4 linked regions of the Arabidopsis thaliana genome follow. The protein of the gene in region 2 interacts with the protein of the main gene of each other region in a pairwise test. Each region holds a gene or a part of one and is shown on either strand. Other genes may lie near its edges. The genes, in order: UMAMIT8, AtVEX1, ABCC5 and MHX.

Region 1 (6,561 bases), on a different chromosome or scaffold from region 2:
TATGACTACTAATAAAAAAAAACTAATACTTTTTTAACAGAGGAAAATACCATGTATTAAAAATGTTATTTCTTTGATAAAGTGTATGAAAGATGTTGCATAGTCACACAGACGTAGCAGTAGTCAAGAATCCATTAAATTGATAATATACCTTTGGTAATCATGGTTTTATTGAAAAGGTGACAAAGAATACATATGTTAACATTACCAGCAAGGATTTGAATTTGAGTTGTTGGAACTTTAATACATAGTTGAGTAAAGAAGAGGCTTACACAATGGAATCTATCGTGTTAACTACTTAGCTTTGCTTCAATCTCAATTTTCAGTAACTACGTAACTCTTCAGATGCAAACAAAAAAATCTCTGTTCAGTGTTTAATATTAGTTAACTTTTCATCCAAATAAATATATTAATTGACTATAAGAAAGAAATCGTGGAAACCTCTTGGTCTAATGGTTGACCAAAAGTTCATTAATGCTTTTACATCCAGAAGTCTAATGTTCCAGTTCCAGCTACTGCGATTTATTAGCAAATTTGCAGATTAATGGAAGCACGTATGCATGATATCTACAACGAAGTACAATTATAGTCGTTCGCCAAGATTTTATGTAGAGAAGATATTGAAGGTATCCATCAAGCGCATGGAGAAAGAGAAGAAGATATCGACATTGATGGAGGAATTGTAATCCTTCTTTTGTCCCCAACACACATGCCTGTGAAATTTTTAAAACTTGAGAGCAATACACCATTTGAAACAAAGTGATGAAAACCTTTAGGAGGACGAAACTAAGTTACCATTTAAGCCAACATCCCATCCCTTAATGACTTTACCATGACCTGCATGTAACAACAACTTCATAAGTATCACGTACCAATCACATAACTCCATCCCTTAATTGCCATATCACATAAGTATTAAAAGGTGCTTTTCCAATGGTGGAATCGAAGATCTTCCCGTTCTCTTGAAGCTTTCCGATATAGCGGACACTAACCTGCTTGGTCATCTGCTATGTAATGACAATTCTATAAATACCCTGACTTGCGTTTTTTTGTTTCTACCTTGTTTGTCATTATCTAACTCCATCTCCACACCTGACTTATACTCTGGCTCAGCTTTTCTTTGGGAATAGGAAAACAGTCTTTGGCGTGTATTTGCTTAGTTCCATTCGCATTCTCATATTAGGTAGGTTTATCTTCATCTTCTAACTCAACGGTAATTTTTATTTATATATAAATATACCTTCACATTGAACAACTTTTTACATAACATCGTTTAGGCCCTTTTTCTTCGCCCTGTATGTATGTGATGTTTTTTTTATATCCAACTATTTTAGTATCACACACGAACATATACTGTAGTCTACAGCCTACTACATGTATATCTAACCGAATTATCTGTAAAGTAAAATTGTCTTACTTCTTTAAACCTAAACTAAATTCACAAGAACATTAAGAAGAAGAAAAAAAAAAGACTTTGAACTAAAGCAAGAGAGGCTTCTGAAGATCAAACTCTGTTCTAAGCAAACTTTCTTCATCATCTTGTTTCATTTCATCTATTTCTTCACAATCCTCTTTTCCTTTAGCCCACAGAACGAAGTAGAGTCCTCCGAACATCAACGCCATTCCCGCAAAGCTAATTTGACAGAGAAAAACAAACAAGAAAGAAGATAAATGACTTCTCTTTCTGTCTAAAAGATCATACAATGAATGCGAAAAGCTGCAAAAATGTACCTTCCTAGGTTGAAACTCTCTTCCATGGTAAAAGCAGAGACAACAACACATACCACAGTTGCAATTGGACTAAAGAGAGACACAATCACTGGTCCTTTCCTCTTAATCACCCATGCATTGAAGCTTAACCCTCCTCCACTCACCAACCCTCCCTAGAAAAAAAACAAAAACATTTTCAACACATCCAAATGTTGCCAACCATATATGATTTATGACGTACCAGTATTGCGTATCCCACAAGGTGGCCGAGACCGATTACTGATGCACTTCCCATTTCCATACTTCCCTTAAGAGCATACTGCAAAGCTACTGTGGTGATCCCACCCATCAAAGATACCATCGAGAACATTGATATAGGCGCCGGAAACTCGGCTAGTATGGATGCCTAATTAGGACGATCAAAGTGATTTCACAAGCAAAGAATCAGATTAATTAGCACAACCGGATATATGATAGCTCTAGGGCTAAGAAGGGGTATAAGGTGAAACCTGAAGGACAATACTAGAGGACAAGCCGCAAATGGCAAGGAGGAGATAGAGGCAACCTAAGATCTTGTCCTTGTCCACAACGACTTCGTCAGGGACAATAGGTATAGTCTTAACCGAGCTTAAAGTAGCGGTAGTACTGTGCATTAAGCTCATAATGAGAGCTCCCATCACACACAACACTGTCCCTCCCATCTTAACTCTACTATACATACAACTTAGCTTCACTTTCTCCATCCTTAACAATTACAATTTATTCAAATAACACATTAATGAAAGCTCTAATCTTCAAACACTAAACAGATTAGATTAACACAAAAGTAAAAGATTTACCCAGCAGCCCAAGCAATGACAAAAATGAAAGCAGGGCAGAGATTAGGCATAGCTGTAGCCATTGAAGCAGAGGTGTGTTTCATTCCTTCCAAGAATAACCCCTGGAACAGAGTCACTCTGTTTCAAACACAACTTCTCTCTTAATTAATCCCTTGTTATGAATTTTTAATTCTTCTCCTTCTCTTTAACGTATAGAAGAAGCAAGGTAAGCATCTATTAATCAAAACATGCAGAAATAAATAAAAAGAGGAGTTTTTACCCAGCAAGAGCAACCAAAACTAGTTTTATCTTCAACTTGAAACTTAGACTTCTAGGCCAAAGCTTCCTACAAATACACACCACAAAAATCCAAATTTTTATTAGAAAAAGAATGTAGAATAAAGTTCGAAACAGAGATTTTGTAAATTAAAAGAAAGAAGAAGATACCTTTCAAGGAGAAAAGCGAGAGGGGTGATGAGAAGAACTGATGCAAAGGTGCATAAGATAACGATAAGAAGTGGGTCAATTCCGAGAGACAGCAACTGACTCAGTAGCTCCGAGTTTCCGGCGTAAATCACCTGAGCTCCGGCCAATCCTCCGATTATTCCTGCTTCTATTAACGTCTCTCTCTTCATCATTTTTTCAACACAAAAAAAACACGAAGAAAATAAAAAGAATAATAACGGACAAATCAGTTGGAACCCATTTGGTAACCGAACAGAAGGATTCGATTTTGTGGGGGAACTAAAAAAGCAGAGAAACACTAATTAAGTTTTTGGTTTTGTTGTTGTTGATAAATGAAAATAGAAAAGATGCTTTGTTTGTGATCTCTCTTTTTGGTAATGTGTAATGCTTGAAGTTGAAACTTTCTCTATCTTTCACTTCTTGCTTTTAAAGACATGTGTCCATTACATTGCATTGGTTTTATTATGGAGTGTCTCGCCATTATAGCTTTTTGGGGAAGCGCAGATTTTAATTTATTTTTAGTCTAAAACGGTGATTATTTTTATAACACATAGAGTCCTCAAATTTTGGTGCAATGGATTTAATATGTATGAAATAAGACAAAACAAAAATTTGAGAGCGGTTAGCTTAATTTGTTAAGAAATAAATATTTCGGTGAGTCTGATATTTCTTAAATAGAACAAATAAATAAATAAATAAAATTCGCCAAATCGGCTAGGCAAAAATTTAAGATTATTCAAATTGTCAAGATTTTTATTTGGGAAGTTGCCACTATATTAATAAAATTTGGAATATAAAACCATAGTTTTGATTGGTAAAATAACGTAATAAAAATAGCAAAATTATAAAACAAGATTCTATTTATTTAAGACTAAAGAATAATATGTTTATTTTGTCAGTAAAGTCATTTAAAAAAAGGTGGAATGATCGATCATAAATCGCCCTCACACAAATTTATGTTAAAGATGAAATTCTGTACTACAGTGAAGTTTAAAAACATGCAGAGTATGAAAAAGAAAGATAAACCAAAAAGAAAGGAGAAGAAGGAAAAAAAGACAGATGCAATAAACTCCGTCAGATTCGGGGACCTTGGCCTTTTCTCGGGGGAGTAACAAAAATATTTATCAGTGTTCTTCTTTTGTTTGTATTCTTATTTTTGGATATATAATACGACATCTTACCATCTTCTCCTTTATTCGTTTTACGTATCTGACTATCTGTTCACTCTTTACTTCCTTCTTTTTTTCTTGCATGCAAATATGGAATGTCTTCATATTTGTATTTGTCACAGTCTCACAGATAAATCATATGTGTATGCCATGTGCCTACCTACCTATAATCATTTTTATTGGTAAAAAAAGCTTCCTATTCTAATATCCTTGTTAATGCTAATGAGATGGTTTAGTGATCTGTTTTCATACCGAAATGTTTTAGTTATTTAACCCAAAACACCAAAGGATGGTTTAGTGATTCGTTTTCACACCGAAATAGTTTTATGATCAAAATATTTTCTAGGGATCAGTTTTAACTAGAAAACTAGACTAGAGTCTATAACGAATTAGTTATTTTATAATAAATGATGTGCCTATGAAAGATTTTTAATTGGAGATGTATAATATTGGAGATGTTGTGTGGAGTGTAAAATATGGTAGGTGAAGCGTAAGATAAGAAAAAATGAGGAGTGTAAGAAAGAAAAGAGCAAAAGTGGGGATGCTTACACGTCAACAATCCTCAGTCTCTTTTCCAATGACTTGTGAAGCGTGTTATCGTCTCTCTTTTCTCCCCCTCTTTTTTTCCCAACAAATATAATATGCGATCTATCTAAATATATTAAGTTAAGAGTTTAATCTTTATCCACATACATTTTTTTCTTTTGTAACATCTGTTATCCATATCATGAAAATTTAATGCGTTTAAAAGCTTAGAAACATTTCACGCTGACCAAAAAAAAGAAAAGTTCACGCTCAAAACACTTAAGACTTAGTTTTATAGACCCTAACTAGTATCAAAACCCCTTGGTGTGAAATAAAAGGCATCTTGAATATGCAGAAACTCATATTAGCTCCTAAACCGGTTCAAAACATTCTAATGACTAATGAGTTGTGCCACGTACGAACAGACAAAAGGTTACAGTCTCAAGTTCTGAAGTCTGTGAACATACATAGTCTTCTCACGTGCCCACGCGTCTACAACTACAACCGTCGCCAACTCACGTGACTTTTTACCTCTTCTTTTTTTTTTTAATTTTTTTTTAAACCACTTTTTGCTTCTTCATACTACGAATAATCATGGTAAAGCTTTATGAAAGATTATAAAAACCATAGGACAAAGAAAACAAAATTTCGAACATCTTAACCAGTTTTGTTCTAAATTATGATATTACAACAATAATTTAAATTGTTTAAACCCTTCTCAATGAAATGTCCTTCTTCTCGTGGGATTGTCCTTCGATATCTTCTCAAAAATGCTTTTTCCTTTTACCTACGCTTATATCTGCACGATAAAAGTAGAAAATACCGAGTTAAACCAACAAATTACAATTTATGTTACTGGTAAATTTCATGTTTATGATGAAATGTTTCTTACCTGGCTTTGCTCTTGAATGAGTTCTTCGACTTCGTCCGAGGTTTTGCTGCAGCCGCGGCACCGCCTCTGCCCTGTTTCTTCTCGCCCATATCACTCTTGAACAGATCTTTCATCTCTTCACCACGAGGCTGGTTTCTTGGTTTACTCCGGCTTTGTTTCTTGTCCGGCTTTGGTCTCTCCATCTTACCGGAATCAATTGCTCTCTGTTTTGCTTTCACCGCTTTTGCTCTCATGTAACCAAGATCCTTTAGTGTCAATCCCTTCTTATCTGTCTCCTGTTTTTTCTTGTCTTTCCCCTGAAAAAAAACACACATTTAAAATCAATACAATGTTTGTCATCCCGGCGAGAGAGAGAGAGAGAGAGAGAGAGAGAGAGAGAGAGAGAGAGAGAGAGTGATGTGTATCTCTGAAATACTTACTCTTGATCTTCCTCTCTTTTCGTCTCCTTCTTCGTCTTCTTCCTCTTCTTCTCCTTCGTTATCTTCTAGCATCTCTCTGGCAGCTTCTAGCTTTCTACGTTTTTTCCTAGGAAGATTCTTCTGTACTTGCATGGTCAAGAGAATTGTAAGTTCTCTAGGAAGAAGCAATCAACACTAAACTAGAACGATAATGCAACTGAATAGTGAAGAGCTTCTTGATAAACAGACCTCGCGTTCACGTTTTCTCTTCTCCTTCATCTTGAGGTCCTCTGCTCTATCAGCACTAACTAGTTCGCCTCCAGCAGGGTTCCCTGCAGAATCCTATTCAGAGAAAGTATAAAGAATGATTCAGACAAGTGTATCCCTCTCTCTACAACAACAACCTCAGGAAATTAAAAGAACACCTTTTCAGCCTGTGCCACGAGCTTCTTCTCCTTCTCTGTCATGAACCAAGTCCTTTTTGGGCGTGCATATATTTCATCTCTGTGCTCAAGCATGTTCTCCGCCTGCAGAAACAAGCCCATAATCACGAATTTGAAATTATTCCCACAATAATTGAACAA
Region 2 (6,029 bases):
ATCAAGGAAGCTATACTCCGGAACTATATAGCTGCGAAAACCAAGTGAACATAAAACATTCAGCGTACCATCACAAAGATTAGATTCCACAGCTAAAACCTCACTAAAGAGTAAGAAGACTAATGGACGATTTTACCTGCGACTAATTCCATTGATGGCGGCGATGATTTCAGCAGCCTGATAAGCTCTCTGTGTTATGGAAGGCCAGAGCCAACAGTTTCGGTCACAAGCTCCCATTGCTTTTAACTGTAACGCAGCTCTCAGAGTCTGCTTCTTACCTTTCTCTGATAATCCGCTATCTACCGATGTTTTGGCAACCGGGTTTGTGTTGATTATCCCTAAGCTTTCGTAATCTGATTCCCCAGCTCTCACAAGGTAATAACTTGATCCAAGAAAAAACAACAACCAAAAACACATTGTGTATTATTAGCTCCATTTTCTAAGATAACCAGGCTAAATAACTCCGGAAACGAATCAAGAACAAGAATCAAAATGTTAAAAGTCAGAGATTCACTCTTAACAGTTCAATGTGAAGAATTTGGAATCTCACTAATCTACTAAAGCTTTACAAGATCCTTTAAACTTAGTTCCAATCAAAAGGACGAAGATACGTATACATTGATGCACATCTGGTTGTATGCACAGAAACTCAAAACTAGGGTTTTGAAAAAGTAAATTACCGATTAGAGAGCCGGAGAGGCGGCATTTGAAAGAGACCGCGTGCGTTAGCTGGTGCGGCGATGGAGACGGAGAGTGATGGTGTGGCAATACATACGGAGAGAGTTTTGAAAAGGTCTCGGCGGGTAATATGCGGCGAGGAAAGTAAATTCAGAGGAATTTGGTAGGTTTCCGGCGACGGAGGAGGATGTAAGTGTGAGGCGGTGGTGACCGCCGGTGATGATGATAACATAATTCAATCGTCATCTCAAACGGTATCTCTGGTCCTCCGTGTTTTAAGGTTACAAAACCACAATTGTGAATCGCACATTCCGGTTTAGATTATGGGTTCGTTTTTAAAATCGAATCAGCTAAACCGGTAACTTTCTCGGAAATATTCTTAACCGGTCAGGACCAAAAAAAAAACCTAAAACAAGAGAGAAACTCTGTTTATTACTCTGCTCTTAAGAGGACAAATTTGTTTCTTTCCTTACAGTTTCCAAAAAAGAAAATGTTATAAAAGTAATCTAATAAACTTCGATTAAAACTAAAATTGTAACAACGTACATAGATTCAACTTGCGAAAGTTACAATCATTTCCAAAAAAAAAAACTGAAAACCCATTTCTTCATACACAAGAAACTTCATAACTTAAGGGTTCCACTTGTTCATTTTTTTTCTACATAGGCTTACACAAAATAATAGTAATAAGAACTTCACCTCACTTCTGATTCTATCTTAACCTATCGATGAAGCACCGTAGACGATGAAATAGCTGAAACTATCAAGCCTGGCCAAGTTCGATTCCAGCATTCGAATAGCGCTTTTCTTTATCTTCATCGTCATCGTTCCAGTTAGTTGTTTTATAGTAAGTTATGTATATTATAAGCTGGATTATTCCTGATAGCGATCCAAGACCATTTGGAATCTGTTTTCATGCATGGAAGATAATTAGTCCTTTTTGAGATGTAGGGATTTGAGTTCCAAACAATAAAGATATATATGAGGGTTTACCAAAATATAAGGGTCAAATTTAAGACATGCATAAATGACCCAAACGACACCGTTCATGAAGTTGGCTAATGATAGGAAGAACGGCATGTATTTCACGCTCTTTGTCTTTATCACAAGTTTCTGTTCCACATTATAACTAAACTCATTAAATGGAAATTCACGAGATAAAGAGAACAAAAGAAAAAAGTTGATAGTGTAGTATCCAATTTTTGCATTTCCGTGATTAGTTTAGAAAGAAGAGGCATCATACCATGACGGTGAGAGGAGCAGCATACATGATGACGTTGAAAACAATGCACAAGATCCCAATAAGCATTGATCTCTGCTTTGTTGTATGCAAAAAATACATTGTGCAGAAGATCACCACCGCCATGAATATTACCTCGATAACCATAGCTATTGTGATCTTTCTCTGTACACATATATATATATCATAACTTCACATATCAAAATCTATATCGATCTACATTTGAAGTAACAAACTAAAACAAACATCAACCACTAATTCACTAATTTTCAATTGGTTTAAAGGCTATCAAACCTATGTCTGAAAAGTTTATATAAATTGAATAATTTAGAATGCATATACATATTTTTATCATTCGTGTTGAAATTAGAGGTTTTAAAGGCTTACGCGGACAGGGGAGGTAGCGAAGACAAAGAAGATGGTGACGTAAACGAGTTCCATGAAAAGACCAGTTCCATTAATGGTGATGACGAGGAGACTGTCGGGCTGGACGAAAGGAAGTCCGTAAAATGTCCACATCATGCAGTTTAAAACCGTAGCTACGTATGGATCTGGCTTAAACTCGGAGACCGATTTCATCTTCCATATCTTCACCATCGTTGGTCTGCACAATTTTCACATATGTCATTGCATGCAACAAAACAAAAAAAGATTTAATCATCATGTGTGCTTACATTGGAGCGCAGAACAAGCCGAAAGAAATCACGTTTCCTAAACATATAACAGACAAACAAAGACATGAGCAAATGTTTTTGTTGTTGATTGAATTAAACTTTATGTTTGAGTAAATTGTGGAGGACTTACCAACGATTCCGACGATCGTCCGGGCGGTGTGGGGGTCCGTCATTTTTCTTTGTTTCTAAAGAAGAATTCTTTATCTTCTACAGATTTTATCAAAGAACTAATTTATATTTTATAAAAATAAAAGAAGAAGAGAAACAAAATATGTTGATGATTTCGATTCTTCTTTTCGATGATTCTTGTTTATAATTTTTTTCTTTAGTACTGCGTTTCTTTTTTGTTTGTTTCTGATTTGTGATGTGAGTTTTGTTTGTTTGATGAAATAGCTTTTTTTTTTTTGGTGTGGTTTCTAGGTTCTGTTTTTGGTTTTTTGATATTTGGATTATTTTTGGTTTCTGCTTTATGAACAGAGAAAAAAGAAAAAGTGGATTTTAATAGTGAGTCTGTGAATCAGCAGAATCTGGGTAGAGTAACAAACGCATGACACGTGGTTTCAAATTTGAGCCATGAAGCCGTTGACTCCGCTCGTACCCCATGCATGAGAAACACCCGGCTCTTCACTCACATTAATACCTCTGTCTCTCTCTCTCTCTCTCTTTCTCTTTCTCAAACATAATTACATTTACTATTACTACATCTTCATTATGTATAAAGAGTTTGTTGTCTCATATTCATGTCATAGTAAATGTTGTGTAGAGCATCTTGTATAGTATATACAATAATACAAAGCAAGTGAATATGTGCTGTAACCAAAAACTTTGTTAATAGCAACTTGTATTGATGAATAAAGAGAAGAGATTTTAGTTTTACTCTCTTTTTAGGTTTACTATGTAAACACTTTGCTATATATGAATCACTTAATATTCCTTTCTCATCAAGCTACGAAACTGCAAACGAATTGAATCAAGATGAAGAGAAACAGAACACACAAGCCTCAGGTTTCAGTGTGAGGCGCATCAATCGAAAATACTAAATTAATCTCTCATTGTTTCTTAATGTTTTCCCTTTAAATGTAGGTCGGTTAAGACTTGAGATCTAAAACCTAATGGGACATGAAACTGGGCTGCTTAGCTTATAAACTCTTTTGTATTGCCAATATATAGAAAATATCCAAAAAAACAAATGTCATAAACCCCCAAAAAATGTCAAAAACCAAAAATATATATGTGTTTTTCTTCGTTCAAGTTTAATGAAATAGAAAACTGACACCATGAAGAGAGGACGCCAAGAGAAGAAGACCTCACGATCTCCAAAACGACGACAACAACGTCAGAACGAAATCTCCGAGAGAGAAAATTCAAACGGTATACATATCCCTTTCGATGTAATAACCGATATACTCTCGAGACTCCCTGTTAAGTCACTTGTGAGGTTCCAATGTGTATCGAAGCTGTGGTCATCTCGTATCACCCTCTTGATCATGACTCGGTCATTATTCTCGCCCTCTACTTATCCTACTAATGATATATCATTCATATACCCAGACAAAGACAGTAATTATACATTAAACCATGGGCGAAGTTGGGATTTTAAGTATCAATAATTTTCGAGGACTCTTCTGTTGTTGGTCAAGCTCGATCTATAAACATACCAATAGGAAAACGATTTTATTACCGGAGGTAAAACACGATAGATGGAGCAACTCGTGTGATGGATTGTTCGGATATGATCCAGTTGAGAAACAAGTTTTCACATTAGTGGGAGGTCCAATGAAGCAGCAATGGAGGAGCCTTGACATCCAAGGCATTTGGAATCACTCTCCAGAAGCTAGGAGTAGTGGTTTATGTATCAAAGAGTTTATCTATTACATAGCACATGTAGAAAGCTGGGATGATCCCGAATTCTATGAGCTAGTGAGGTTCGACGTTAGACACGAAAGCTTTGATCGTATTCAGATGCCCATAACTCTGCAGATGAATCAGCAGCTCAGTGAAGTGAGTTTCGATGAATTGACTTTGGTAAACTACCAAGGAAAATTAGGATGCATACGTTACACCAAAGCTAGTGCAGAGATGTGGATTATGGAAGATCATATTGAGCAACAAGAATGGTCTAAGATGATGATATTTGAGAAATTAGGTATTGCATCGCTGGTGTCAGTCCTAATGGTGAGATTGTGATAATGCCAAAGACAGTGACATCTGCTCAATCTTTGTACCCCTCGTACTATGATCCGAAATGTTAGTTTGTTGTACCCGCCGGATCACATTTGTTCAACTCGTTCCCTTAGTGAATAGTAGTTTTTATAATAAATATCAATTTTGTTTTATCAAGTGTATTCCTAAAAACATTGTTAGGAAAGTAACTATCTTATAACGGATTCTAGCTCAAGATATTTATTTTTTCTAAGACTCGTTTTCACCAGCCTAAGAAATTGTTTAACACTTTTTATGATTCTCAATCGTGTTGATCGATAATTGAGTTTCTAAGGTTTTAATATTTACAGCCATGATTCGTAAAAGTGTCAAGTGTGCATATAATAACATAGAAAAAATAACAATTTCTTAATTTATATTACAAGTGTCAAGTGTGCATATAATAAATAGGACCAATCATAATCCTTTACAGCTAAAACTTGAATCAAGTTATATTATCATCACGAGTCTTTTGACCCAAGAAAAAACTTCTCTGAGTTTCGGCCCATGGAACTTTCGCAGTCGGACCCAACCCGAGATCCTGATACCCGGTACGATCAACGTTGCTGTTGTTTCCCCAGCTTCCGCCGATCAAGAAGCTCCACCGCCGTTGGTTACTCCTCCTGGGGACGAATTCGAACCGTCGATGACAGTAATCACAGCGGCGACCACGGCGACGAGCCACGTTGGTGGATCCGAGCATCCTTGAAGATCCGAGAGTGGTCAGAAATCGTTGCTGGTCCACGGTGGAAGACTTTCATTCGTCGATTCAATCGCGATCCACGACGCGGCCGCGATTGGGACGCAAGCGAGAAGTTTCAATACGATCCTTTGAGTTACTCTTTGAACTTCGATGACGACGACGAGGAGGATGAATACGTCGGACTAGGTGGATTACGAAGCTTCTCGACCCGATTCGCTTCTGTCCCGGTTTACTCAGGTAAAGCTCCGGCGATTTCGCCGACGTCGTTGTCTGCGTTGACGCCGCGTAATGAGATCATTGAAAGTTAGTGGGCGCGTGTGAGAAACGCGTTTGCGTTTCTGGCGGCGGGGAAAAGGCTGTCAAAATGGTTGACTGGTTTGGTTTACATCGTTTTTGGAGTCTGTCGCGTTTTCTTATTTAATCATTCTGTTTATATAATCAACTTTGAATTAATTTTATTATTTTCCCAGTTTAATTAATTTATTTATCAACCAAATTTTATGTTTCTTGAAAGAGAAGCAATATTTTGTTT
Region 3 (9,817 bases), on a different chromosome or scaffold from region 2:
ACACTTATAATAAGCCCAATACAGATCACACTTGAGGGATGATGACGAATGATTAGTAGTTTCTACTCTAATCTTTGTTTGTTTTTGCAGTTTATTGATAAACATGAAAACCAAAGAAACTAACTGTTCCATACAAAAAAAGTTTCTCCCAATGTTCGACAGAAGAGATTTAAACCCAAAGTTTTTTAAGCGCGGAGATTTTGGCATCCTTTCATGCTTTTTCTTTTCTTAAACCCTGTGGAAAACTCTCTCTTACTTTAGACCTTAAGCTTTTGTCACATATCAGTTCTTTTATATCCTCTTGAGAAAAGAAACCCCCTAAACTGAATTTTTAACATGGAGGATCATAATTCAGGGATTCCAGTAGATCTTGAGGAGTATTCTGTTACCAATTTCAAGAACATCGATGATTTGTCTTCTAATAGCCGTGCAGGAGTATCAAACTCTGCTACTCTACCTGCAACAAACCATAAACATAAACATTGAATTCTCCCAAAAGACGACGAGTAATATGAAGAAAGATCCATGTTTTTAATTTGTATGAGACTAACCGTCGCTGAGAACCAAAACTAGGTCACTGTCTATAACAGTTGGTATCCGGTGAGCAATGGTGCAGACCGTGCAGTCTTCAAACTCTGTTCTGATTATCTTCTGGATCAGATTGTCTGTTGCTGTGTCAACCGATGCTGTTGCTTCATCAAGAACAAGTATTTTGGCTTGTTTCAGTAATGCTCGTCCAAGTGACACAAGCTGTCTCTGCCCTACACTCCAGTTATCTCCATTTTCCAGTACTACTCGGTTTTGAGCCAAAAAAATCAGTAGAAAGAAGCGAAAAAGACCCGGGAAAAAGAGAGGACTTTTGATGTAAATAGTTACCTGGAGAGTCAAGTTTTAGGTCTTTTCCTCTAACAACGTCTCCAAGCTGGGATTTATCAAGCGCCTGTCAGCAAAGTTGGGTAAATCTCTAGAATCAAACTCCAAATCTCAGAGTTTAGTGTCTAAAACATAAACAAGATAAGAGTATCAAACAACATATTTATAGATACCTCCCAGATTTTATCATCTGAATGTTCTTCAAGTGGGTCAAGATTTGCTCGGATTGTTCCTTCAAATAATGTAGGATCTTGAGGTATAATCCCAAGGCGACTACGAAGATCATGAAGACCAATTTGAGAAATGTCAATGTTGTCAATAGTAATTTTTCCAGCAGTTGGCTCAATCAATCGAAACAAAGCTTGAATCAAAGTCGACTTTCCGCTTCCCGTTCGCCCAACAATCCCAATCTTTTTTCCACCCGGAAACACACAGCTCACCCCATGGAGTACTGTTGGAAGATTCTCAGCATAACGAACCTTCGAAAAGAACGAAGCAATAAGAAAGCAGGGAAAGGAAGTGCAGAGAGGTAATAAAAATAGTATTTTTGAATAGTACCTTAACATCAACTAGCTCAATTGTTCCCGTTGCAGGCCACGAGGAAGGCGGGCGGAAATCTTCTATAATTGCTGGGGCCTCTCCTACAATCTGACTGTACTGATAAATCCTTTCGATTGAGATTATTTTGTTTTCAAGCTTACAAAAGCTAAGTATCCATCGTGATAGACGTCCATTCAAGTTAAGTCCATATGTCACAGCAAGACCTGCCATGCCTATTACAACAGGAACATCAATATTAGAAAAACCGGCTGCTCGTTGATGCTTTTTTTGTTATAGTAACTAGAGATACTTACTTGGATCAATGGTTCCATGTGGAAAACTGACGAGTAAAACCATACAGAAAGCAAATACAAGTGTGGAAAGTAATTCCATGCGTAAACAAAGCCATTCGATAGCAGCGATACTGCAGAAGAAAGGTCGAACAAAACAATCTAGAAGATAAAGATTCCTTTTGATAAATCTTTTTTCCTGGCCAAATCCTCTTATTGTGGCAGCACCAGCAATTGATTCTCCAAAAAGATGAATTATTGGAGACTTCTGGATACTAACTATCCGAACCAATTCTCTTGAAGAAGCCATGTAATATTTCTGCATTTTATTTCAATATAAACTAAATTACGAAAACAATCTTTCACAGTTATTCAGAGGAAAAATCGAAAATAGATTTACCTGCATCCAAAAGCAAGCAACAGCTACCGGAACAACAAGAAGGAAAACTTGCCAGGTAACATTGGTCATTACAGCGACAATGCCACAGAGTTGTATTGTTGTTGAAGCAAACCCACCGAGTCTAAAAGGAATGTCAAGATCTACAACACTTTGATCAATAGAAACCTGCACATCAATAAAATCCCCAAAATCAGAAAAGTAACACAGAAACTGTGGAATTTGGTTATAATACCACATCTACATACCCGATTCAAAATTCTTCCTGCAGGAGTGGAATCAAAGAATGACATTGGCGCTCGGAACACACTTCTGAGCATATTTAAGAACAGTTTCTGTGCAGCTGCAAGACCAAAAGTTGCAACCAGAGCAGCTCGAACAAATATGAACACAGAGCTCCCGAAAGCTAAAGCCGTATAAACGATGAGAAGCAGAGTAGGATCCACTTTAGATTCGTCACCTTCAGTTTGAGGATTTGCCCAAGCCATCCACCAATTACTAGCAATCTGAAGAAATTGGAAAGCAGCTTGTGCGAGTATAATAAGAGGAATCAGAGCCCCTTTATATGCAGCACCCATGTATGACAAGTACACCTTCATGCTGACTTTTCCCTTTACTCGTTCCTCTTCTTGAACAAGCTGCTTTTTGCGGGAACGCTTAGCTTTCTTCTTCTTCTCTTTGATTGCCTTTAGATCTGAAGCAGATCCTCCCTCTTGTACTTCCTTTGCCAAAGTCTCGATGTCATTTTCAAAAACATCAGACTTTGGATTATGCAAGACCAAACTATCGCGAATAGGATTTTCATCAGAGTCTTCTGAGGAGGGACTTGGGATGTCCATTGCCTCGATTGCTTCATGGTGGGCAGACACTAAGGCCTTAAAATCAGTACCTGCTTGCAGCAGATCATCATATTTACCCGATTGAATAATCCTGCCTTCCTTCAGAACCTTTGAAACAACACAAATAAATATTTCAGAGCTTATCATAACGGAAACAGTTTGGAAACTCCTTCAACAATTTTACCTTTCTGCAACAATAGAGATAAGTTCATCACAGGCTGGTAAGCTAAACACCTAAAAGAGACCCTTTAGCAATTCTAAAAGGACCAACAGTAGCCAGAATTAATGTGTAGTAAAACCGAGAAAAAAGAGTTTCTTACCAATATTAGATCAGCTGCAGGGAGAAACTCAACTTGATGCGTTACAAAAACCACAGTTTTCTCAGCCAATGCAGATAGAATATAATCCTGTATAGCCATTAATAACCGTGTTACGCAAACGTTCAAACTCAAAATATGAAAACATGACTTGAATAGCTTCTTACCCTAAACAAATCAGAGCCAGTGTGTGCATCAAGAGCACTAAAAGGGTCGTCTAGTAAATAAATGTCAGCATCTTGATATAATGCCCTTGCAAGTTGTACACGCTGTTTCTGACCTCCGCTGAGATTTATACCTCTCTCCCCGATAATAGTTTGGTCCCCATGTGAGAAAAGCTCTATATCTTTCTTTAGGGAACATGCTTGTATCACATTCTTGTACTTTGTTTTCTCCATTGGACTGCCAAATAGAATGTTTTCTTCAATGTTACCAGACTGAATCCAAGCCGATTGAGACACATAACCAGTAGTACCACATATTCTAACCTATATAACAATTATCAGCAGTTGGATCAATGATAGCTAAGTGAATATAAGAAAAGAAAAGAAAAAATAGTGAAGCAATTGAGACAAACACCCCAAAACATTAACTTACTTCGCCAGAGATTTTTGGGATTTCCCCTAGGATGCAAGAGATAAAACTTGATTTTCCAGAGCCAACTGTGCCACAGACAGCCACACGCATACCCTTCTCCACTTTCATCTGAATCCCAGATAATGTCGGCCTTGAAGAAAAAGGGTCCCAACAAAACACACCATCTTTAATCTCTATGGCTATATTCGAAAGTCCCCGTGGAATAACAACAGTTGCATCTTCTTGAAGTTCTTCCTCCTGCAAGAACCCAGAAATCCTATCAAGAGAAACCTTTGTCTGAGCCATCATTGAAACCAGATCAGGAAAGTTCCGAAGTGGCTCCTGAAGAATTCTGAATGTCGCCAGAGCAGAAAGAACACCTCCAGCGGTAAGTTGAGTGCCTAGAAATATCGAAGTAGCGAATGTAACTGCGGCGACAAAAATGGGGGAACTCCAAAAGATAAAAGTAACAAAAGCCTGAGAATATAAGGCTTTGCGAAGCCAACCATACTCCTCTTCCCTCATTTCTTCCAATCTCACTCTATAACGATCTTCCCATGCCTGCAATTTCAGAACTCTCATGTTCCTAAGACACTCTGAGGTTTTCCTCATTCTTTCATCTTTCGCAGTCATCAACTTATCTTGATAGTCTTCCTGGACCTTAGCGAGTGGAATCGTGACAAGAATCGAGATTATTGTAGCAACCAATGTAGCTACAGCAGCTATGCCCACGCTTTTATATAGGATTGCAAGAGCAAGAACTATTTGCATCGGAAGCATCCAAATATCATGAAGATACCATGAGTAATCTCCTATGCGCTGGACATCGACTGCCATGTAGTTTACAATTTCACCGCTCGTGTGGTTCTGCTTGGCTATACTTGAAAGTTTGAGACCTTTTCGGTATACCATTGCTGTAAGAGCTGATCTAACATGCATCCCTAGGATATCAACACCCATATACCACTGGCGGGTGGTGACTGTCTCTATAAGCTTGGACGTAAAGAATATCCCAGCGAGTACGTATCCTTCATGAGGGAAAATCTCCTTCCCTCCAAGATAATCAACAAAGTAGCTGATCAAGTAAGGACCGACATAGGACACAAGAGTATTCAACCCAGCAAATACGGCATTGCAAGCAGCTTCTTTCCAAAATGATTTCATAATTGCACGAGCTAAAGAAGGAGGCTTTGAAGGATTCTCGGACTTGCATCTCTTCCAATTCGACTTCAAGACCTTGTAACTTGATTTGGCTCTATCTCTTGGTGCAAGAAGCGGTATATCCTTAAGCTCAAGCGGTCTTTTTGAACCAGCCGAGAGAAGTGGATCCAACCATGAAAGCGTAATAAGGCTAACTAGCCCAGCAGTACTATATGGAGTAACTTTAAGACAAGCTGCCTCTTCTTCAACAAGCAAAGGCTCTTGAAGATCAGAGGAGCTTCTGGTAACTTGAATACCAGAAACGCCTCTCCAGGCCAGAAAGCAGAGAAACCCAAGAGCAGGTGTAACAGCTAAATTGGCGACAACATGAGAAGAACATCTGCTCCAACCTTCAATGGCTAGCCTTCTTCCATCGACATACATAGTACAGAGGCAAATCGAAAACGCCAGGAACCACCATATCCTCACCAAGAAGGGTAGCTTCTCTGAAGACTTGTATTTCAAATGAAGAACTAAGAAGCTAAGGACAAACCAAGCTAAACTCTGAGAAGCTGGAAAGCAAAGAACAAACCAGTCACTGACTTCTCTTCTAACCTTAACCCCATCATATACTAACACCAAAACTTGGACGCCTAACACATATAAGCAACAGAGCAAAGACAGATTAAACCCAAACCCAACACTAACATGGTTAACCTCTCTTTCCAAGCTAAGATTAGAAGCTGAAACCGTATCGTCCTTAGAGAGCCTATCTCTGCCTCTTCTCACGCAGACGAGAATCTGCCTCGCGGAGACAGCAAATAGAAAGACAAGAAAGAGTAGGAGGTTGATGATGACCGAACATAGTTCCAGTAGTGGCAAATGCTCTCGAAAGATCAACGAGATCTCAATAAAATCCATGATCGGGAAAGATTTGTGATAGAGAGTTTGTTTAAAATCAACAACCGGCGGATTGTTCGAGATAGAACAAGCATCTCACCACATCCCAAAGCTCGTAGCTGCAGAAGAAGAAAAAAAACAAAGGAGAGAGAGGCGATGAATCTTATATTTCAAAGTGGAATTGACACATTGCAAATCAAAACAAAATGAGTTTCTCTGCATGACCCAACACGTAGAAGCGATCACAGAGATACAAAAATACAAACAACAAACAAACAAACAAACAAACAAAAAGGAAACTTTGGCTCTCACCAGCTCTTAATAGATCAAAATCGATATTTCCCAGAGAAGAAGATAGAGAATGAGAAGAAACAAATCAGCTGAAACCAGACGTCACTTGGGTTCTTGAGAGCAATCGAGAAGAGAGATCTCTCTTCTCTTTAATTAAAATCAACAAGAAAAAAATTAACAATTTCTTCTGTTTCTCTCTAATCCTTCATTCGCCAACGAAAAAAAATGCAAAATTTATTGGTTGGATCGATTAAAGATTGTGCAAAGTAGTGGAAGAAGATTGGGAATTTAATAAAGGAGCTTCCTTTGCCTAAAATAAAATAAAAAATAAAGGTGGTTCCTTTGGGCTTTTTGGATGCTTTCTCGTGGACTTACTGTTTTGCTTAGTGTGTGTGTTAATAATAAAGCCGTAAGCTCTTTGTGCGCTCACGATGCTTGACGTCGATGCGTCAATGTGTCTGTATGTGATCTGACTTTTTTGGTGATTTCATTTTTCAATTGTCTTTACTCTTTATGATCAAATTATTGTATTATTTGACCATATATGTTATCAATAAAAGCACTTATCATTAAACTTAACCATGGTAAGCAATGAATCATATTCCGATTCTTTTACGTTTTTATTCTCTCGATTCGTTTTATACGAAATCGCCAATCATAACTCAAACGAAAGAAATTACCATTTTGCTAATCTAAGCTGTGTCTAATTAATTGTGGGATACAATGGAGGAGGAACCTTATACGGTCCATGGAATATTCTACACGTGACGTGATGAGTATTATGTATTGTCTACAAGGCTACAAATATTACTAAAATAAAACTGTATAGGTGTCAGTATATTACAAAATACTATATAATCACTGGTTTATCAATTCCTATGTATACACATTGAGCTTTTTAAAATTCATTTGTAGAAAGTGGAGACATACACGTTATCGTTTCAATACATATATATAAAAGAAAGAAAACCAATCTATCATCTCTGCACCAAAACAATGAGACAAATGTGTCAACTTGATTAAAAGATATAAAAGAATAGCGTAAGAGTATGAAATTAATGACTTTATATATAGTCCAAAGATCCAAACTTATACTCACCACCAAATTGTTCGTATGTACTAATACTATAGTATAATTACATGCACTCTTGCTCTCAAGTGAGAGAGTGTGAGACTATTCAGATAAGCAACTATATAAGACCAACAAAAGATGATTTTTTTTTAATTCTTGCCCGTATGTGTTTATTTGTTTGTTTGTTTGGACAATATGCGGATGACGACTTACTACACATGCCATTCATGCAAGGTAATGCGTCTTACGTGGCATACCATTTTCTAATACATGTATGATTAAATGTCAATTATTGCTGACTATGCAGTAAAAAATGTGTACGTTAATATGTCCTTTGATTAATATATTACATTTGGTTATACACGGTACGTCAACACATTTCTAGTTCGCAATAGGGAATTCTACGTTCTTCCACATATAGTATTTCAAATATATATATAGACTGAATCTTCCTTCTTCCAATCAACTTATATTCTCACGAATAATAGAAATTAATTTCAACTATATATGATGATGTAACTTGGAAGAATTAAGGAGATGATGTAACAATCTAGAAGCCTTGATAGTGTATTATAATGTTATACATAAATAATGACAATTGTAATATAGTTGTTAATGCTGCGTAGTTTTTGTCATTTGCGTTTGTTTGGTATAGTAATGGCTTTGTTCAAACTTTTTTTGTACCACTTTCGGTCCATGCCAGCTCACTTTCCATTATCTTTCGTTTGCATAAATACAAATTTCAAAAAGGTAGCTTTTCTTAGATGAAAAAAAAACAGTATATATGTTGCTCAGTTCATGAACACTGTATATGAACCAAATGTCGCTTACGTATGCAAATTGTTCAATTGAGGAGGACAAACAACAACAAAAAAGATAGTGGAACATGCGATCTTCTTTAAGTTCAAACCGTGTGTAACGTGGATAATGATAGTGGTGCGTGGTCCTTTAACAAAAGAACTAATCATAGTGTAATATACCTAACACATTTCTCTCACATGTTATCTATTTGTTTTAGGTGTTGACATATGACCTAAAAGAAGCCTCTGTATTGTTGCTTAAACGCAGGCACTGCCTGGAATGTTAACAGGGCTAATTGCGAGTTATAAATATTCAGTTGTTGTAAGTCTTATCAAACTATTATTGTCTATTGATGATTTAACAAATACCAAGCCAAACACAATTTAATTCCTATCGCACTATTTTGGTAAGGTGATTGGTGATTGGTGAATGTGAATTCAATACTAAATGATGTTACAGATTGTACGGGCCAAGTTAGGCCCATTGAATGGCCCACCACCTTAAATTCAACTATGGTACTAAGAAAAGTTCTATCACTTGTCGTTTTATTTCTCACCGACCTTTTTCTTACATTGTCCCCCGCTCTCACCTTTCCTTTAGACTCCGGTGTCTCAGTCTCACTGTCACTGGAATTTATTATTCGACTCAGAAATTTCACTTTAAAAAAAAAAATCTCATGTGTGTTAAATTTGGGCCCATAATACTCTCTCATATACACACAATCGAGGCTCATGATAGCTATTGAGATCAAACCGGGACAATAGTATTAAACCGGTATTCGGTTAACGAGAGGAAATAACCGGTATCTGTCCCTCTCCCTCCAAAGAACTCGAAGCTTCTTCTTCTTCTTCTTCTCCTGCTTCTGTCGTCGTCTAGGTTAATCGAATATTTCACTATTTGCTTTCTATCTTTCTGCTGCGAATCAATGGCGCTATGGATGGACGCTGGAGCGACGCCGACCACGGAGAAGGAAAAGGCTGATCTTGAAGCTATTTCTGCTCTCAAAGAATCCACCGCCATCGAATTCAAAGTACCTCTCTCTTCTCTGGCTCGTTCGATTTTGATGTTTGATGTAGTATCGATTTCATTCCTTTGCTGTTTAAACACAGGAAGAGGGCAATGAATGTGTAAGGAAAGGGAAAAAGCATTACTCTGAGGCGATTGATTGTTACACGAAAGCCATTAGTCAGGGAGTTCTAAGTGATTCAGAGACCTCTATTTTGTTCTCGAATCGATCCCATGTTAATCTACTCTTAGGCAACTATCGGCGTGCCCTCACCGATGCTGAGGAATCAATGAGGTTATCTCCTCATAACGTTAAGGTAGTAAGCTAAACTTTCTCTTTGATTTCGTTGTACCGTTTTGGTTGGTTTCTCTGATGGGTTTCAATGCTTCAAAAGGCGGTGTATCGAGCTGCTAAGGCATCCATGTCATTGGATTTGCTGAACGAGGCAAAGTCTTATTGTGAAAAGGGAATCGAGAATGATCCGAGTAATGAGGACATGAAGAAGCTTTTAAAACTTGTGAATTCAAAGAAGCAAGAGAAAGAACAACATGAGGCTCAAGCCTCACAGGCGGTGGTGGAAGCCAAGGTTAGATTTACATGAATATCAAGCTTTAATACATTACAAGTCATTTCACTTTGAGCATTTTAGCTGACTCAGTTTTCCTTGGTTTCACTACAGGCTTGTCTCTCTGCGATCGAGAACAGAGGAGTGAAGATTGGCAAAGCAATGTACCGAGAACTCACTGGTTTGAAGAAGCCAATGTTAGATAAAAAC
Region 4 (7,631 bases), on a different chromosome or scaffold from region 2:
TGAAAAGCTTGCCCTCTCGAGGAGACGTTGAGCTTGGCGATATTCCTTCTCTCCTGGATCTTGGCATTAGCCCCACTCCTAGGACTAGCCAGGTTTGAGTTCTTCATCTTTGCTTAGCTTGATTGATTCCTTTATCCATCTAGGTTTAGGCATTTAGAAAAGGTGGAAACTTGTGGGACTTATAATTCAAACTCTGCCAATTGGTTCCATTTCTATAGGAGAAGAGCTACTTACCCATAGAGTGATAGGGATAAGTACTATCAAGTGTTAATAGTAGTAGTGCTGTTTGAAGGTCCATGGATTCTTCTTAGGATCAATGAACGTTTCTCTTTAGGTCCAATATTCGTCTGCGGCTCTTACTGTCTTACACCTTCTCTTAGGAGTTAACATTTTGTTCTGCTCAGGAGGGGAAACCGACAATGGTTGGAGGAGAGACAGAGGCGTTGACTAGACTAAAGAGCTTTGCCGCGGATTGTCAGGCTCGGTTGAGCAAGGGAAACCAGAAAGGAGGCAACAACAGTGTCTTTGGTGCAAACTTCTCTTGCAAGATATCACCTTGGTTAGCCATGGGAAGCATCTCTCCTCGTTCCATGTTCGATGAGCTGAAGAAAACAATCTCCGCATCAACCACCTCCACAACTCCAAGGTAATGTCTCAGAAACGCAAAACACTTCAGGAAACTCTGGTGAACATAGTAAGTGTATGTGTCTAATTATCATTCTTTGAAATGATTTTCTCAGGAACGGACCGGGAGATACAGGACTCAACTGGTTAATGTATGAGTTGCTATGGAGGGATTTCTTCAGGTGAGCTCTTACTTTCTTAACTTGCCCCCTAGTAGAAATGTAGAATTTGTATTTTGTCTGATTCTCTCTTTGATGTGTGTTTAAACTTGGAACAGGTTTATAACCAAGAAATACAGCTCAGCGAAGACGCAGGTCGAGGCTGGTCCGGCTACAGCCTGTACCGGTGCCTTTGCTTAAACATTTGAAAACTTTCAGGTGACCGGAAAAGTTAGAAGCGACCTGTTTCTTTGCCCTACTCTGGTGTATGGTGGATTAATTTGCTATCCGGACAGGACTTTACTGCTCTCTTTTGAAACTTGAGTGTCAGGAGAATAAAATCTAAGCTTCTTTTTTTGGCTCAATCAAGTTGTCCGTTCCCTGTTCTAAACATTTCGGATACTCATTCCATAAAAAGTCTCTACAATTTGAGACGCTCTCCTTTGTGGTTAAGACTTGAGAATGTATCTTAGAAAATAACCGAAGTAGTTGTGTCTATGAATATTAAATTCAGGAATATTAAGATGTCACTAATATCAGAAGCAAGCAGCAACTAGAATATGCACTTCGTGGTAAATGGGCATTAGAAATTCTACAACACTTATTAAAGAACCGTACTAAACACTAGTTACTTGGATGAAAGTTACATATAAAAGTTTATATTAATCGACTAAGATTATTTGCTTGACTTTAGAGAAAGTTTGCATATATGTACCACAAATTGGTAACACTGCAAATAAAAAAACAAAAAAAACTGCAGGATAATGAAAATGTACTCCATATATGCACCTCCTAACTAGAGATGAAGCCTCCAAAATCATAGTCAATATGATTTATATTTGCAACACATATTTAGCCAACTGCCTTTGAACTTTGATAATTATATAAAACCCCCTTAACAAGTAAGAAAAACAAAAACTGAGACATGTGCAAGTAAGCTAAGACTTTTTCTTCTACTCATGGGGTTTTTCCTTTTGTTGCTTCTTCTATATGACGCCTGAAACTTTCAAAGAAGAAAGAACAACGAAGACGACCCAAAGCATCATGAAATAGGCAGAAGTAAGCCAAGCCCATAGCCTTGGACCTCCAAGCTCAGCTCCTATAATCAACCTTCTCAACACAAGCACCACGATACATCCCACTGATGTCGCAAAGAATATCAGAAGCGAAAAGCTTAATCCTTTAGCGTTTTCTATGTATAAAGGCTCTCTGTATGCAAAGTAGTTGTAGACTGTGTTTATCAGCCACGGAACTCCAATCCCCACATAGATGTTCACCGAGTTACTGCATAATTTATCACCAAAAAGATCATGAAAAGATCTTCAATGTTTGTAAAGGGTTTTGAGATTTTTACCTGCAGGTGATGTTTGCAATAGCTGAATCTGCGGTTAGTTGTCGCTCTGCAGCGATTTTACTTGCTACTAAGTCTGGCCATGAAGTTCCACTTGCGAGTGCTGTGAATGCTATCACATATGGGTTTATTCCTGCAAGATGAAAAGAGTTTCTAATGTTTTAGAGCTCAAATGTTTAATCTTATAACTTCAGTTTTTGAAAGCGGTGAGGGTGTGTACCAGTGACACAGCTTATAAGGTCAGTAAATCTTGTGACAACAAAGGCTACTCCACTGATGAAGAGGAGAGAGCAGATGAAAGCGATCCAACCGTGAGCAATGTTGCAGGGGGGCACAAATGCAAAAAGCAGTTTCCAAGGGGCGAGGAGTAAATGCCAGAAAGATTTCGCGATTCGAAGATAAATGCTATCCACTTTCTTTGATTCTGATGTTTCCAACTGTTTGATTACGAATAGGAAGAGAAACAAGTTAAGAAAGATGTGTTGATAATGATCAAAAGCCCAAAATAGGATATAGAAGAATCTAGAAAACACTTGGTAAGTTGAAGATTTTTACCGTTATTGCATCCACGAATTGATGTTTCCAAATGTCAAAAACAGTAGAATTCTTCGCCTTACCCTTCTTAGTCGCAGAATCGGGTGGAGTATCTGCCACAGTATGATAAGTGATCCCTGCAAAAGTGTTTGTTACAGGGAAAGTTTGATTTATAACAATATACTACCAGAGATAAATATGGGAATCACATAGATTTGGAAATAAGCAAATACGCTAAAACTGATCTTATATCAATAGAATAGACAGCCTAATCATACTTAGTACCTGTATCATTGTTAGCTGAATGAATAGAGAAGATATCAACAATGTTTCTGCTTCCCGATTCAACAGCATCTTGAGCAGCATCCGAATACACATCATGAACATCATTGTCATTGTCATCTTTGGATGTATCAATCTCCTCTGGAACCCACTCCTCTGGCCTATCACCTCTTGACCTGCAAGTATCAAATACAAACACAAAGATACAATCTTTAGTAGAAATCCATTTTGAAGGAACTAATATTATTGTCTGGAAAAGAAACCCACATTGGTAAAGACAAGTAAGGCCATCGCTTGTCTTGGGCGTACGCATGAACTAGAAGCAATCCGTATTGCAGTACTGTCAATAATGCCTCCACAAGTGTAATTACGTTTGGTGACCACACCTGTGAGACGTGAAAAGAAACAGATTTTTAGACCTTATCAGTATAGAGTATAGACTCAACAGAATCTGTTTAAACCGCTTTTCACAGTTACCTCGAGGATTATGTATAGCCAGATGTAAGCCCAAAAAGACCATACGAGCTCAACTAGCCAAACACCTAAGTCGGATATCTTTTTCAGTTCTCCAGCTTTTGGCACAACGACACAAACAGCGTGGATGGGGAAAAGATCAAATGCAGCTGAGCCAACAAGTGTTCCAGGACCAAGACCTATATGACAAAACATGATATAAGAATTCATGAACTTAAAAGTAAAAACTAGAGTTTTGGAAGGAAGAAAGGAACAACCACCAGACCTCCAGCATACCGCTCCCCCATATTCCGTATTGCATCGATGGTAGCCAAAGAAATCTGAGGGAAGCTAGTTCCAAACGCCAACAAACTGATGTCTGCAATAGTAAAGTTCCAAACTTTCTTGTATGTGATGACTTCAGCTTTAGTAATGGGATCAATTGTAACCACTTTACGGGAATGTTTCACGACATTCTCCATAGACTTGAAGAACCGTGCAGTGATGGCTGACAACCCAATAAAGCAGTAGGCAAGACCGAGAAAATATAACACACCCCTCAAACCATCTGACAAAGTGTTTTCTCCGGGGAATAGAAAGAAGTTTTCACATCTTAAATGCCCAAGAACCTTAGAAGATTCTTGCAACTCCTGGGTTTGATTAAGAATTGAGGCCATTGTAACTTATTCAAACCCCACCTCCTAATAAGTCAACTGAACACTTGTCCTCACTGGGGAAAAGAATCTGGCACACCAAAAAGAAGCTTACAACTTTTAGAAGAAACTGATGAAACCTGTAGCCTGATCGATCGAACAGTATCAAGAGGATGCGAAACAAACGGAACATGCAAAAAGATTTCTTTCCAGAGAATCTGTAACACAAACTAAACATTGCAAAGGATCCAATGGCATGTAACCGAAATCCAATCTATAACCAATGCTAATAACAATTGCATGTTCCACTGTATGCGTAATCAAAATCCAGAGGTAACCAGATCAAAAGATTATAACTTTCATCATGGGTTCAGTAAAACAAGTTGGGTTCTTTTCACAAAACCATAATTTTCAACGAACAAATCTCAACAAAAATAGCTAAAAAATAAGAAAAGAACAGATGAAACAGAGTGAGCCACGCGACGAAATTGATCAATGCGGACGTACCGGAGAATATCTCGGTGAGCGGCATTCACAATACGCCGATCACGGGAGAGATTTTCCGACAAACGGAAATCGAGAGGAGCTGATTGGAATCGGTCAAGCGTTGGATATTGCGGTGGAGACTTGGGAGCCATTTATACACATCTCTCTAATCTCTGCATGACACACTTCAATTATTGTATCGAAACGAGGATTCAAGCGTACATCGACCGACACGTGATCTTATCTAATTGGATGATTTACTTGACTAACTAGGATTAATTAATCTCGCCTTTCTTTGGTAAGGTTTAAGAATATGAGACCTCAATTGCAAGTTTTTTTTATATCTTTTTACTCCCTGAATTTTGTTTCATTTCATCCTTATAAGCATTAGATTTTAATTTCAACCTGAGTAATATTAGTTTTATCATCTCCTCGAGTTTAGATATTATCATAAACATATATCTTACTAAAAACCTGACCTGACTAATTTATTTTCTTTATAAAAGATAAACATGATAAATATGAAGTGTGAACGCATTATCAAATCAGAATTAGTGGATATATATGTATTTTGTTTTTTTCTGATTAAAAAAATTATTGAGATATATACAATTGAACTATGAGGACAAAAAATATATATATATATATATATCTTATTATATAAAGTATGGTTTTCAAAATTGACTTGGCACAGTGTCAAGTCAAACGATTAGATGTTTACATGTGTCATTCAAAATTTAACTTTTTTATTCTTTAAAAAAATAGAAAATCTTAAAAAGTAAACAAATTTACATATACTAATTTATATGTCTATATATTTATAAACAATTAACATTTATTCAACAAAAGCAAAATTAACAAATTTGTCTTTAACTCATGTAATCATAAGTGAAAATAGAACACTTTGAGAAAAATAGCTTAGCTTATAGGATTTAACTTTTCAATTATTTTCATTTATTAATTTTAACTCATTTAATATTAATTTGCATGATGTAAAATTAACTTACGAGATTACGTGGGTGATTGGTTTGTCTGTAACTGTAGATTTACTGCTGTAGAATTTTTGTTGTAGGTGTGATGACTGTAGCTGTAAGTTTTATTGCTGTAGAAATTAGACTGTAGGTTTTATTAATATAATTATTACTTAAAGAAATTGGGTAGAAATAAGATTTTGGTTGTATGTATTTTTAAACAAAAAAATATTATCGGGTCGGGTTCGGTTTGGGTTCGGGTTCGGGTTCGAGTTATTTATATATTGAAATATCAAATTTTGTGTGCAAATCTATTAAATTACTTGAAATTTTCAAAAATTCCCAAAACAACATGAGTAGTTTTGCTTGAATATATCTAAAAATACACAAAAATAACTAAAATATCCAAAAAAATTCTAATATTTTCTATATATAAGTATAAATATAACTAATATATACTTATATTTGAGATATGTTTGCATACCTATTCGGGTTTGGGTTTGAGTTTTTCGGGTTTTAAAGTTTATATCCGTTCGAGTATTTGAAAATTTCGGGTACACCCGCCTAAATAGGCGGACCTTATCTAGTATATATATACATTTGAACTATATTGTTTACTTTTTAGTTGATTTAGGCTATGTATGACATTGACATAAATCTACCTGTTATTTATCACGTGTAATTCGTGTAAAGTGTAAACTAGAAAGTTCAAATACGTATTTGTTTTTGTTCTGTTATATAGGATTGTCATAGTTGTAAATCTACAATTTATTACAACATGAATAAGTACACAAGCAATGTAATTGGATTTAATTGCTAAACTCTTTACATGGTCAATCTAAATTTGATAAGAAATACGTCACATATTACTAAGACTGATAGTTTTTTTGTTGTCACCAATTATTTTTGTTAAATTGACGAAAACAATTCCAAAAACTCAAATGTACAAAATCATACAGTCTCACAAACATCTCATAGAGAAAGATATAAATCTCCCATATGGGAACGATAACACGAGGTCGAAATACTATTCGTAAAACTAAAACGCCTTAGTTATAAATCGTTAGTTGTAACCGCGGTCGAGAATACATACAGATCCACGAAACTACTACTACACATGCTGCTGAATTGGAATTTGGAAAAGACCATCTTCTTTAGGAAGAGCTCACCCAATGAGTGACAAAGGTGTCGGTGGCTTGTTTTCTACCCATATGTATACATCAAATGGTAGTTTCATTAACGTTTGGTTTTGAGAAAAGTAAGACTTTGGCTAGTAGCTAGGTTCGTATATAATAAACTCTTTTGAGAAAGTTCATCACTGGTGGAAAATGTTAAACCGGTTTTTTCTCATTTTTTCCGCCATGTTAACCACCGGTTTAAAAAGACCGTAACACATTGAAAGATTAATAAGGGTATATTTGTAATTACGGTTTGCTGGCAATTTTTAATTATTATTTTAATTAGAGAAAATAGAGAAGCCCTATCAATGTACATGGTATATATATAAAAGGCAAAACCCTAGAAAACGATACTCTTCGACTCAGCCGTCCTTTCGCAGAAACCATTTGGAGTTGGAGCTTTGGACGACGACAATGGTATCATCTCTCTTCCTTCCATCTTCATTTCGTTTCATTTGGGATCTGTTAGTTGTTTGCTTTCATAGTAGAATCATCGAATTAGATCCTTCACGATAGAGTTAGTGTTTCCTGGATGCATTCTCGCTTGAAGATGAACACACATGGGTTTCGATTTCCTCTCGGTGGTAACACCATCATTGCTTATCTGCTTTGGATTTAGCTTTTGATAGATTTGGTAGTTGATATAGCTTATGAATCCATCTAGAAATTTGCGTAGAGAGCAATGTCACAAATGTTCTGTGGTTACTTTATCAATCTAATCACGCCACGATTTGGTTTTAGGCCCCGAAGAAAGGAGTGAAGGTAGCTGCTAAGAAGAAGACCGCGGTATGTTTCATTTCCAATTCTCTTCTTCTTTTTTAGGTTTTCGAACATTCAATTTGTTCTTTGTTGTTGTTTTTTTCTTTCTTGCTGAAGTTTTGTGTTTTGATTTCTGATTTCTCCAGGAGAAAGTTTCAAACCCTCTATTCGAGAGGAGGCCT

The links.
Region 1: the proteins of AtVEX1 (region 2) and UMAMIT8 interact in a protein complementation assay, tested with the Arabidopsis thaliana proteins (one large-scale study listed by BioGRID).
Region 3: the proteins of AtVEX1 (region 2) and ABCC5 interact in a protein complementation assay, tested with the Arabidopsis thaliana proteins (one large-scale study listed by BioGRID).
Region 4: the proteins of AtVEX1 (region 2) and MHX interact in a protein complementation assay, tested with the Arabidopsis thaliana proteins (one large-scale study listed by BioGRID).

The regions. Positions count from the first base shown.
Region 1 is NC_003075.7:9,356,706-9,363,266, forward strand, and holds UMAMIT8 (nodulin MtN21 /EamA-like transporter family protein), read right to left. Parts: upstream 3,535-6,561; 5' UTR 3,167-3,534; coding exon 2,976-3,166; intron 2,875-2,975; coding exon 2,809-2,874; intron 2,767-2,808; exon of another isoform or gene 2,667-2,766; coding exon 2,550-2,666; intron 2,455-2,549; coding exon 2,220-2,454; intron 2,117-2,219; coding exon 1,952-2,116; coding exon of another isoform or gene 1,907-1,951; exon of another isoform or gene 1,884-1,906; coding exon 1,732-1,883; intron 1,634-1,731; coding exon 1,480-1,633; 3' UTR 1,201-1,479; downstream 1-1,200. Other genes in the region: AT4G16630 (DEA(D/H)-box RNA helicase family protein), read right to left, coding at 5,471-5,486, 5,580-5,875, 5,999-6,118, 6,227-6,319, 6,403-6,504.
Region 2 is NC_003076.8:25,228,763-25,234,791, forward strand, and holds AtVEX1 (Nodulin MtN3 family protein), read right to left. Parts: upstream 3,083-6,029; 5' UTR 2,766-3,082; coding exon 2,723-2,765; intron 2,630-2,722; coding exon 2,593-2,629; intron 2,523-2,592; coding exon 2,306-2,522; intron 2,084-2,305; coding exon 1,922-2,083; intron 1,906-1,921; exon of another isoform or gene 1,806-1,905; intron 1,792-1,805; coding exon 1,672-1,791; coding exon of another isoform or gene 1,609-1,671; exon of another isoform or gene 1,586-1,608; coding exon 1,442-1,585; 3' UTR 1,176-1,441; downstream 1-1,175. Other genes in the region: AT5G62840 (Phosphoglycerate mutase family protein), read right to left, coding at 1-31, 137-382, 681-910; AT5G62860 (F-box associated ubiquitination effector family protein), read left to right, coding at 3,870-4,025, 4,279-4,779; AT5G62865 (uncharacterized protein), read left to right, coding at 5,302-5,805. UniProt on the Arabidopsis thaliana protein: Mediates both low-affinity uptake and efflux of sugar across the plasma membrane. May play roles in nurturing the male gametophyte.
Region 3 is NC_003070.9:1,064,504-1,074,320, forward strand, and holds the start of ABCC5 (multidrug resistance-associated protein 5), read right to left. Parts: upstream 6,578-9,817; 5' UTR 6,185-6,577; intron 5,992-6,184; 5' UTR 5,894-5,991; coding exon 3,854-5,893; intron 3,745-3,853; coding exon 3,424-3,744; intron 3,347-3,423; coding exon 3,260-3,346; intron 3,048-3,259; coding exon 2,349-3,047; intron 2,269-2,348; coding exon 2,104-2,268; intron 2,023-2,103; coding exon 1,728-2,022; intron 1,647-1,727; coding exon 1,432-1,646; intron 1,353-1,431; coding exon 1,047-1,352; intron 941-1,046; coding exon 877-940; intron 792-876; coding exon 552-791; intron 458-551; coding exon 345-457; 3' UTR 1-344. Other genes in the region: TPR2 (Tetratricopeptide repeat (TPR)-like superfamily protein), read left to right, coding at 8,962-9,066, 9,146-9,358, 9,437-9,628, 9,722-9,817. UniProt on the Arabidopsis thaliana protein: Pump for glutathione S-conjugates. Involved in regulation of K(+) and Na(+) cell content.
Region 4 is NC_003071.7:19,522,750-19,530,380, forward strand, and holds MHX (magnesium/proton exchanger), read right to left. Parts: upstream 4,832-7,631; 5' UTR 4,563-4,831; intron 4,147-4,562; 5' UTR 4,080-4,146; coding exon 3,689-4,079; intron 3,603-3,688; coding exon 3,427-3,602; intron 3,336-3,426; coding exon 3,217-3,335; intron 3,126-3,216; coding exon 2,953-3,125; intron 2,805-2,952; coding exon 2,689-2,804; intron 2,571-2,688; coding exon 2,354-2,570; intron 2,267-2,353; coding exon 2,137-2,266; intron 2,067-2,136; coding exon 1,769-2,066; 3' UTR 1,368-1,768; downstream 1-1,367. Other genes in the region: PHR2 (photolyase/blue-light receptor 2), read left to right, coding at 1-92, 405-646, 741-806, 902-983; AT2G47610 (Ribosomal protein L7Ae/L30e/S12e/Gadd45 family protein), read left to right, coding at 7,105-7,107, 7,432-7,476, 7,596-7,631.